Drosophila melanogaster: one gene and its partners. The protein of the gene in region 2 interacts with the protein of the main gene of each other region in a pairwise test. Each region holds a gene or a part of one and is shown on either strand. Other genes may lie near its edges.

Region 1 (3,758 bases), on a different chromosome or scaffold from region 2:
GATAGTTTGTTATTCATAGCTGCAAGTTTTATAATCGAACGTAGCGAATTGGGTGTTATTGCTAGAATTTGTACTACTCTTCTTATCCTGTTTAAACCATGACTATTCTGGCATTTTTCTTATTCATATTTTGATATATATAGAACTTAACCCTTAACAAGATTTGTTCTACTTAACGATCGGAACACCAAAGTGAAATAATAATCTCTGAAGAGAGTGTGAAGAATGCGAAAACAAATAATACGAAATTTACGTCTTCTTATCAACATTTAAGAATATTATTAAATTTTAAGACCAATCAATATTTGAAATAATAGTTTTAATGACTTTTAACCGAAACTGTTCATCAGATACCTATCCCTTTCAATTAATATTTTATCCCATATTAGATAGCTAAACCAACTCACTGAAAAAGAAATCGCAATAATCACTGAGCTGTATTAGGCGATAAGCGCTAAGTCCATATAAACGCAATAAATTTCTGATTGCCGAATAAAATACCTTGTGAGAATTATCCCCAAAAACCCCAAAAATGAGACAAAGAGATGGGCTTACCGCTGTTGGGGCAGCTGCAGCTGTCATATAATCCGGTCTTAAATAATGATGATTGCTGGATTGCAGCATTTTATTATAATTTGTTAAATCCACTTTGACGGCTTTTCTTTGGTGGTTCGGTGGAGGTGTTGAGTGGTTGTTGCTTTTGTCCCGACCGCAAAGTACGGCAGTGCGCTTAACGGTAAGTGCCAATTTATGTGGCGTGTGCTGCCAACTCGTGTGAAAAGCGGCGCCTGCGCCTTGCTTGAAATATTTTCCAGCTGCCTGACTTTTCGCTGATTAAGCCGTCCACGTTTCGCGGTTCTCGTTGATGTGAGTACTTATTTATGATAATTTATTATTGTGTTTATTTTTTATTTTTCCTCTTTTTATTATTTATTCCGATTTCGATTCGCAATCGTTATTGCTGATGCTTGCTGGGCTTTGTTTGTAATTCGATTTCATTAATAATTCAGTGCTGTGGCGCAGGGGGGATTTCTCATGCGTCGAGTTGTGACTTTCACGCCAGCGGCATATTAATTTGTTGTTGTGATATGCTGGCTTCGCTTTAATTGTGCAATAAATTCATTAAGTATTATAATTGCCTCAGCGGTATTTATTATTTATATGTGTACACGATACATATGTGTGTAAAAAAGAATTTACACACTACTTTCTTTGCTGGCTTGCATCTACAATATTTACGTTTGATTCACGCATGGGCTTTTACAATGTATTCATTTATGGGTTTTCCTTTTGTTAGATATACATAGGTATGTATGTACTTTATTTATTTCTTTGGCTTGGCCGTTTTTGGTTAGTGGTTTCGCTCGAATGCCTCGTTGAGGGCGCGTTTTATGATGAGGCACGTACGTTATTAGATGGTTCCGGGAACGTGGGGTTATCCAAAAGTTTGCTATTTACTGAGCTAATTTTGTTTCACATGTATACTTTGTTTTAAACTCAGTCTAATTTTGATAAAGCACAAGGATCACTCGAAAACGACTTAAAAAATAGGCGATTGTGTTGACTTTCTCGTATATATTTTGAAAATTTTTTTTTTTTTGCGTTTGGGGGAAGTGCATATGTATCCGCCTGGCCGATTTTACGCTTTCGCACTCACAACACAACACTCCGGTCGTAGCAGTCCGTCCGTTCAGCGCACGTACGAACTTTAAACGTGAAATAACGAAATTCGACTAAAAATCTATAAACAACATGACGTGCACGCTCCTTTTCGCTCTTTTCGTATCACCCCCACTCTCCAATCGGCTCTCTCAGTAGTTTCGCGCTCGCTTGAAAACCAGTTCGCTCTTTGTTGTTTGTGGCCGTTTTCGTTTTCAACAAGTGTGCTTTTGTTGTTGTCCGAGGCCATGCGCTCCCCTTTTTCTTAGGGCGCGAGAGCGAAAGAGCGAAGTAGTTGGGGCACGAGAGCAAACGTTTTTAGTTCTGCGCTCTTTGCTGAGCGCGCATGCTTTTTGCTGAGGCAGCGAATTTCGCGTGGGAGCTGAGAGCCAAAAAGCGTAGTAGAATTGGCGGTTAGTAGTAGACGGATACTATGTGACGGAGAAGCAGTGTTGACGATGGGAAGTAACGGAAATTTCTGGATATTTTTGAAAATGTATATTTCCGCTTTAAATTTGATAAATAAAATGAAGGGTAATCACGGTACCCGGTTGTTTAAGAAACATTTTTTTATATTATACTTATGTACCAAGAATTATAAGGATTTTTTAATATTATTAAATAAAATCTTAAACATTTATTATACACATAGTAGGGAAAGATTTTTGGAAATTTGTAATTCTGAGCACAAGTAAGTTCACACTTAGATCAAGCAATAAGTTTTAAATATTGCGTATACGCCCAGTTGGAAAGTTTTTCTTTGCGCGCTATCATTGAGTACAAAGCTAAAAAATTCTAGAAATGTGTAAATAAAATATTGGAAATTAAAAATAGAGCCAACACAACACACACAACGCTGGGCACACCGACACCAACACGCTCATTGGACGATCGCCGCTTCTGTGTAGCCATTTTGGGTAATTTTGTTGCTGTTGTTGTTGTTTCACAGTGTTTTGTGGGGAATTTATTTCCACACATGTGTGTGCAGCCATGGCGCCTGTGTGCGTGTGGAGAGCGGAACGGCGTCGGCCATAATTGTTTACGAGCAGGTGGGCGTGTGTGTGGCGCTCGTTGGTGTGCCAGTGTGAGAGTGTGTGTGAGGAGGGGTTGGGGAATGTGTTAAAAACTGCAAGCCGAGGAAATATGATTTAGAGCACCAAACGAGAGAACCATTTCCGTGGAGAGAACACGATTTGGTGTATTTCCCTCACTTCGCAGAGAGAGTTTTCCCCACTGTAAACAGAAAACAGCTGGCGAAAATGAAAATCTCGGGTTGCACATGATGACGGGAAATGTCTGAGACGAACTTATCCCTCATTTTGCACACTGAAATCAATTTTAGTTTCTCACTTAGATGCTATAAATGCAATAAGAATGGAATGTTCGAAAGTAATATCGTAACATCTTTAACATTAAAAAATGTTAATAAAAAAAAAACAAATTTGTAATTCAAGTTTGCCGATTAAATTTCTCTTAATGCTTAATATGTACATATGCAGTTTAATATCTAAATCATAGCTCCCACGTTAGGGCAATTTAAGAAATCAAATATAGGAGTCATAATCTCTGGTTAAATTGCTCTATTGGGTCCGCATCATCGTAAAAAGCAAAAATGGTCGTAAAAACACAACCAAGACCACGCAATTGGTTAAATATTCAAAAGGCGAAATGCTGCTCTAACTTTATGGCATTAAAATGTTTAGGATTTGAAAGAGAAATACACAATTATACTAATCGTGGCGCTTTGAATTAACAATCAATAATTTACATATTTCGGCCATATATTGACAGCTGCCACTGCTGCTCCACGCCTTCTTGGAGCATTTTTGGTGATGCTCTCATAAAATGCCCCCGTCCATTGTGGATTTTTGTCGTGTTCATTAAGAAGCTTTTGAAAGTTTCGCCTTTCAAAAACCATAAAATGTTTATTTAGATGCCACTTTAATGGCGGACAGAGTCAAACGTTTTATAGCTTCCTTTTGTTTCACAATATGGTTTTAGTTTCGTTTTCGGACTTAATAGACTCATTTCTGGTTTAACACAAAACAATCGAGTTTCAATTAACCACACAAAAAGTATATGTCGTTTTCGCTCTCTGG
Region 2 (3,638 bases):
TCTGCATCAACACTGACGGAGGCAAGTCCACCTGCGGAGGCGACTCTGGTGGCCCCCTGGTTACACACGACGGCAACCGCCTGGTCGGAGTGACCTCCTTCGGATCCGCCGCTGGCTGCCAGTCTGGTGCTCCCGCCGTCTTCAGCCGCGTCACCGGATACCTGGACTGGATCCGCGACAACACCGGCATCTCCTACTAAGCAGTTGATGTTCAATAAACGATTATAGCAAAAATGAAAAATTCGACCAAACTATTTATTCAGTTGTAGATTGAGGGGCACATTATTGAGAGCTAAATATTTATATATTCTATTATGTACATTAAATGTACATATATTATAAAACTAAAAGTAATCTCATATTTTCCTTAAATGTTTTTAAAACGAGATTGTTTAACTTATTTTTATATCCTATTTTTATATTCTATCCATATGATAGCTGTTGAACGCTAGTAGCGACTATAGGGTATTCCTATATTTAAAACTGTTTAAGCTAGGAAAGTCCACTTGCAGCTATTTATAATAACATAAATTTATATTATGTTTATGCACTTTAATTATGTTGCAAATATAACAAGTCCAATATTCTACATACACCATTTTCAATCCAGTTTGCTTTTTATATACATAATATACATAATAATTATAAACAATACATAATAATAATACATAATAATAAGACGTATGATCCATATATATATATTTGCATATAGTCCGATGGTTCGTCATTATGTGTTCCTAAAGCTTGATTTTTTCCGATACATAAATCGGAAATCGGAATAAGTTTATTTCCGTTTGCAGTTTAATATATTTCCCTTCACTTGGAAATATTTTATTGATTTCATTACTTAAGCAAGAAGACATCTGAATCCCATCCCAAAAACAGAACTTGAGTTGCTTGCTATAATCGTTTATTGAAGAAACCCCTCAGAATTAAGGAACATCAACTGCTTAGTAGGAGATGCCGGTGTTGTCGCGGATCCAGTCCAGGTATCCGGTGACGCGGCTGAAGACGGCGGGAGCACCAGACTGGCAGCCAGCGGCGGATCCGAAGGAAGTCACTCCGACCAGGCGGTTGCCGTCGTGTGTAACCAGGGGGCCACCAGAGTCGCCTCCGCAGGTGGACTTGCCTCCGTCAGTGTTGATGCAGATCATGTTGTCGTGGAGAGACCAGGTGCGGCTGCAATCACTTTGGGAAATGATCTGGACATCGACGGACTGGAGCCAGTCGGGCAGTGGGCTGCCATCGTAGGTGCCGCCCCATCCGGAGGCCACGGCCCACCATCCGGCGTAGTCCTGGTAGCGGTCGTTGTAGCTGGGCAGCTCAACCTTGTTGACCAGGCTCCAGAAGTCGACGTGCGGGGTACGGATCAGGGAGATGTCGTTGTGCAGGTTGCCGCTGTTGTAGTGGTGGTGCTGGATGATGTCGCCACTGCCCACCCAGTGGGTGTACTGGGGCTGGGTGCGGATGCTGGCTCCGTAGTTGATGGTCACTCCACTGGCTCCGTTGGTGCAGTGAGCGGCGGTCAGGACCCAGGTGTTGCCGATGATCGAGCCACCGCACCACCAGTTTCCGTTGCCGCTGAAGAGCAGACCCACGATGTAAGGCACCTTGCCCTCGTAGGCTGGGTAGCCGTTGGTGATGCGACCCTGAATGTCCTTGATGGGCGTCGGGGTCAGCTTCTGGGCGGGAGCGGGCACAGCAGTAGCTGCGGCCACGGCCAAGGCCAGGAATACGAACAGTTTCATCTTGGTCAAGTCTTGCAACTCAATGGTGTTCCGATGTCGAAGCGCCTTTATATACAGAAGAAGTCCCTTGTCTTATCTTGACCAAGTGTCAAACTACCCATATGTTGAGCTGGAGGGCAGTAAATTAATGTCATCCAGATTACATAGGAGCAAAAAGACAAAAAATAAACAACGCAGAGGCTTGTACAGCAATATAAAAAACGTAAACTTATCAGTGTTCAATGATTTGCGAATCAGTTAAAAATACAATAAATTTAATGTTAAATACTACTCATCGGATGCAATTCATAAAATCATTTTCTACGTGGGTACATTCAATTTGTTTAAACACATAAGTATCTTATCGGTGCCATAAAGCAAATCAGCATTGATACTATAGATTTTTACGATCATGTTGAGGGCTTAGAGATATAATTTTAATACAGATGGCCATAAAATGAATTTTATCCCGCAATCTTGACGGTTTCCGGTGGGGAGACAGTGAAAGTGCAACCTGCTACGCAAACCCAGGGAAAATGAGCTCTTTCGCTTTTCTCGTGGAGAACTGAGCACATAACTCACAAGGGTCCTTAAAAGCTAAATAAGGCAGGAGTTTTGTTGGAGGCCAATGAATCATTGAGTGCAACCCAGTTGTACACTGCAGAAAATCATGTATAAACCCAACATAGCATTTAGTTAATGGGAACTTATAAGAAGAATGTGCATTTAGCCACATTTGTGTAATGAGGAGTACCTTTATATAATTACGAGAATGCCATCCAGGTATTTTCAGCTATGGCCTCTAATTAATTCGCACTTAATGAGTTCCCCTCGACAGCTGTGACTTTAATTTTGAAATTCCTTGGGCCACCATCACTTCCTTCCTCTTCTCTTGGAAGCCATGCGAGTGGAGTGTGGAGTGCATTGGCCCCGCTAAAAACCCCGTACGACTTGAACACGTACGATGCCATTCCGCCCGGAGCTCCATTGAACCCCACCTTTCGAACACACACATTCATCTCAAAGGGCTGCTCCGTGAAAGTGGGCTTGTTCCTTTTCCTTTTCTCCGCCTTTAGCCAGGAGCTGGCATTTAGTTCCAAGTGCATTGACACACAAAAGCCCTGCGAGCGCCCTGAAGTAAGCAACATTCAACATTCAAGGCTCAAGACGCTCGGCTGCCAAGGACGAGTTGGGTCTTAGATGTACACCACCCCACCTCCCCCTCCCACTTCCCATGCAGATTAATCAATATTCATCAATCACAAAGTCAGAATCACTGACCCAGTGCCCAAAAGGCATTCGAAATCATTTCAATTCGGTAGATACTCGACTGTAAACTGCAGGTGTGGTGTGTTTTCCGGCTCTGTTGGTTAGCCAAAAGCTTAAAAGCTTGCATTTTCTCCTATTTTTAAGGGCTTTTCTCGGTGAATAGTTCTAGGATATGAACCCAAGTCCATGAATCCCTATTTACTCGCAAATTAACACCCTCATGCTACTTTTTGAATATTAAGTAGCTTTGAATTTCGGCTTGAATAGGTGTCAAAAAGTATGCAAAGTGCGTATTTTTTTTTTGGGCATTGATCTATATTGCTGGGTACAAAATATTAGACACCTATTTAATTTCATATCTCAACTGTATGCATCATTTCATCGAAATATAAGCAGATAATATTGTTCCATTTAGCACGTTTTGTTTTTCACTTACATATAAACCCACTGGGCAGTATTGATTTGGATTTTCAGGCATAAAAGTGGTGCGATTCCGTTGCTGGGGCTTCGAAAATCGAAAGTCGCTCATCACGTGCAATGCAACCACAAATGGACGAAAGATTCCTGAACTGAAATCGCTAAAATCGGTTGCTGCCTCCAAATGCAGCCCCACAATTACCGAAGTGCGGTCAAATGGGCCCA
Region 3 (3,758 bases), on a different chromosome or scaffold from region 2:
CAGCTGCAGAAAGTAGTAAAAGCGCGTGGCTTCGTCGCTCAAGTGGCGCACGCCAGTGGTCACGTAGTGGCGAACGCGCAAGTAGATCTTGGGGCCCGCCGCATACTTCTCCAGCTGCCGACTGAGCGAGCGCTCCAGGTCGATCCATTTGAACTCGTCCTCCTTGTCCTTGCCCTTGACCAGGTAGCGCAGTCCAAAGAACTCCGGCTGCTGGATTAGCAAACGTTGGCAAACGTTGTCCAGGCACTCCTGTCCCTTGCTCTCCGAGCTGATCGTGCAGTCCACTGTGCTGGATGTGTCTGCAATGTAGGTAAGAGTGAAAACGTGCTTCAAACATCGGCCTAAGTCGCTCCAAGCACTCTAAATTCGCCGCACAACAACAATTTGGCCCTGCCCGTCGCACGCGCAAATATGCAAATAAAGTTTATAATCTCTTTCGAGACCTTATACGTTTTATGGACGGAAATTGTGGCGGCGCCGCTCAATTGGCTTCTCTCATCTGTCGTATTTCCTAACTAACGAAACGTAGGCCTAATGTCTAAAACCTTTCTGATGGTTGGAGAAATTTGGGTGGTTTTAATTGAGTCAAGGTCTTCAGTTCGCTTGCCAAATAAGTACATTCGGTTAAGTGTATAAGAACTACAAAACATGCTTTTGTTTAGCCCAAAATCGAGAGTAAATAATATACAAAATGTGAAGTACGCAAAGTTAGGAAGTTCTCATAGGCAGTCTGTTAGTTTTAGAATTAACGGTCGCTGTTATGTGTCCTGTGCGCCTCTGTTAACTCAGCGACTGTTAACTAGAATGCAACAAGTGAAGGCATTTTTGTGGTCTGTGCCTTGGAAGGCGAATTCCAGCTAAACTGGAAGTGGGCGCCGCATGACAATCGTTGTGCACATTCCCAATTAAATAATCCCAATTGCAATGGCAGACGGCAGCTGTTAAGTTGTGGCTTTGTCACCGATTTCTTGTTGTTTCTATTGTCTCGTCTCCACTGTTGCTATTGCTGTTGTTGTTGTTGTCGTTGCTGTCGCTGTTGTTGTTGTGGGGGGCGTAGCGCCTCTAGGAATGTGGGGCTTACTCACCCAGCAGGTGATGCACTGATATAACAAACAAACTCTTGGACGTAACATTGTACTGGCGACACTTTTTCAAGAATTTCAATGGCATTTTTCGACTATTTTGCTCCACCGGGGCTCCGCTGGGCTCACAAAAGTGGCTAAAACGGCAGCACCATCGACACCACAGGTTTTTTTTGGGGGAGTAAATTGCTCAATTGGAATTAGCCGATTTGAATCAGCTGATTAGACACGCAAACCAGAGCACTGCGCGTATTGGTTAAGTAAAGTTAAAGATAGTAATTGGGCAGTTAACGACAATAAATAAAGGAATTCACGAGAAATAAAACGAAGAGACCGAAGTGCTGATATCGATACGCAGGTGCTGACTGAGTATCTCGGTGGCTGGCATCGAATGGATCGATAGGCGGCATTGACTATCGGTATGTCTTTGCGCAGTGGGCTGCAAGAAAATAGGTTTAGTTCTGTTAAAGAAAACAAGTGCAACCAAGAAATATGTAACTGAAACAAAACAGTTTATATTTTAAAATATATAACAATGCAGTCAGCAGTGATTAAATAAAATTCCTAAAGATATTAAAACCACTGATACACACGAATACTTCGTTGTACACAGCAAGAGAATAACGGTTTCTAGCGAACAGTAAAATATCAAACTTAACAGAGCTACTGGACACATAGGTGGCGTGCTGGCATAGCTCTGTTATCCGTTCCAACTCCAGTGCTGGAAAGTGCGCGCAACTGAGAAATCCACACCGCGATTCGACGACGGTCCCTCTGGAATTCAGTAATTTAGTACTGCTGCTGCCGTGGTAGTCGTCACTTCCCCTTTGCACTTGCCGCCCTCCGTCAACGTTTTATCGAATAAAGCGAATTAAAATTAAGATCGTGGCTTCGCCCCGCTGCGTAACTGAATAAAGCGAATTTAAATCAAGGGCTTTGACGTCTGCCAAGCTGCTGAGAGGGGCTGCAACAGGAAGAGCACCAGAGACGGGGCACAAATCCACATCCACATCCACCGATCGTCGTCTATCTACAGAGGATTAGGAGCAGCGCAGTCGGAGATCGCGATCGGTGAGTTTCGAGGAGCCGAATCACAAGGCCACGCACTGTCGAAATCCAAAAAGCAAAACCCGATTACCAAAATCGAAATCCAGTCCATAATTAATTTGCTGCTTAGATATTTCGAGCGCTGCATTGGCGGTCAAGGTTGCAGCGACGAGGACAGATGATGGAGCAACCGTATCGCTCACTCGCTCGCTCACACACACACACACACACAGAAGAGCCCTGCGAGCGAGTTTAAAGTTCAGTACCTGTTGCTGCGCTCGCCCAGTCTCCCTCTCCCTCTCGCTCTCGCACAGCCTCGCCGCCGCCCGTGCGATAGTGCGCTCTCGCTCACTCCGTCCGCGCTGCGTGTAATTTAATTTAATTCACTTCTGTTATTAATTTGCGCTATTTGCACGCTGTATCGCCGCCTTTCACGTCTCAAACCGAGTCGTAGGCCGAATTGCATAACCAAAAACGCGACTCGGGTCGCCAATCGGCCATCAAGTTACTTTTCTGCTCGTGGCTCTCCGCTGAGAACAGCTGTCGACTGTCTGCTTCCCGTACAGTAAGCACTCGATATGAGCGACGAAGCTATGTTCTTAATTTCCGTTAACCTGCCTTTCCTTATTCAAAAAATCAACATTTGAAAATCCTAAGTACACCAACTTTACACATTTTCCAATTGGAGTTGGCGTTGCATTTAGTTTCCAATTTATTAAAAACAATTTGTGAAAAAAGCCAACCGATATATTGTTTTATGCTAATTAAACACACACACATTAATGACGATGTAAACAAAATCCTAGTATCAAAATTTACTACAACGAAATTGAAAGTGGCTTAGTTCGAAAAGCCGAAGTGTGTATACTCTTGCTGCCTTGTATAACTGAACTCTGTAAAATCGTTCCATTTTGAAAGAACTAAGAACTTAGTAGGAGATACTGCAAGTCTAGGTATGTACGTACATACATATTTACATATATATAAATCAGTTAAAATATAAAAATTGTACATTGTTGTACACTTCCTAAGAACTTTTATGGATAAAAATTAGTTCTCTGAAATTCAAGTTCAAAGACAAACTAAATAAATATATTATATTATATGTTATGACACCCCATTATAGGGTTACCTACCTATTAAAGCTAGACTATTAGTTCTTCCAATTAAAGAACCATTAAAAGGGCAGGTTCCGTAATGGGATTACATTTAATGGACTTCGGTTAAAGTGAGCGCGGAGTTACATTTCATCCTTTCCAGACAGCCAAACTAGGTTTATGATAACGAAAGCCACTTGGGCGCGAAATAAATATGCATAGTCATGCTTACTTTATAATTCTCCGTCGATTCGGACGAGTAATTCGAGAGTGTCATCGTGTTTAGGGAATTTTAAAATCACATATGCCAAGCGAGATTCTAAGCGTTATCACGCACATTACAAGTGTGTAGGGTGATACTAGATGGGCGTTTGTTGTGACTAGATCGTAAACTTTGTTTGAATAGATGGCTAAGCAGAAATAACCAAGATCATTCATCTCATTCATTTAGATTAACTACTTAGTCGTAAACTAGAAAAAGAAGCACTCAAATAAAGAGTGTTTTTGGAGGAAACATATACACATTTGAACG

The links.
Region 1: the proteins of Jon99Ciii (region 2) and elB interact in a two-hybrid assay, tested with the Drosophila melanogaster proteins (one large-scale study listed by BioGRID).
Region 3: the proteins of Jon99Ciii (region 2) and Pez interact in a two-hybrid assay, tested with the Drosophila melanogaster proteins (one large-scale study listed by BioGRID).

The regions. Positions count from the first base shown.
Region 1 is NT_033779.5:14,407,813-14,411,570, forward strand, and holds the start of elB (elbow B), read right to left. Parts: upstream 1,738-3,758; 5' UTR 625-1,737; coding exon 556-624; intron 1-555. UniProt on the Drosophila melanogaster protein: May negatively regulate Notch-induced cell proliferation in the eye-head primordium. May act in leg and wing primordia to negatively regulate body-wall specifying genes and thereby promote appendage formation. Required for tracheal development.
Region 2 is NT_033777.3:29,920,352-29,923,989, reverse strand, and holds Jon99Ciii (jonah 99Ciii), read right to left. Parts: upstream 1,775-3,638; 5' UTR 1,749-1,774; coding exon 951-1,748; 3' UTR 535-950; downstream 1-534. Other genes in the region: Jon99Cii (jonah 99Cii), read left to right, coding at 1-200. UniProt on the Drosophila melanogaster protein: Major function may be to aid in digestion.
Region 3 is NT_033779.5:6,336,973-6,340,730, forward strand, and holds the start of Pez (Pez), read right to left. Parts: upstream 1,700-3,758; 5' UTR 1,676-1,699; intron 1,522-1,675; 5' UTR 1,171-1,521; coding exon 1,086-1,170; intron 300-1,085; coding exon 1-299.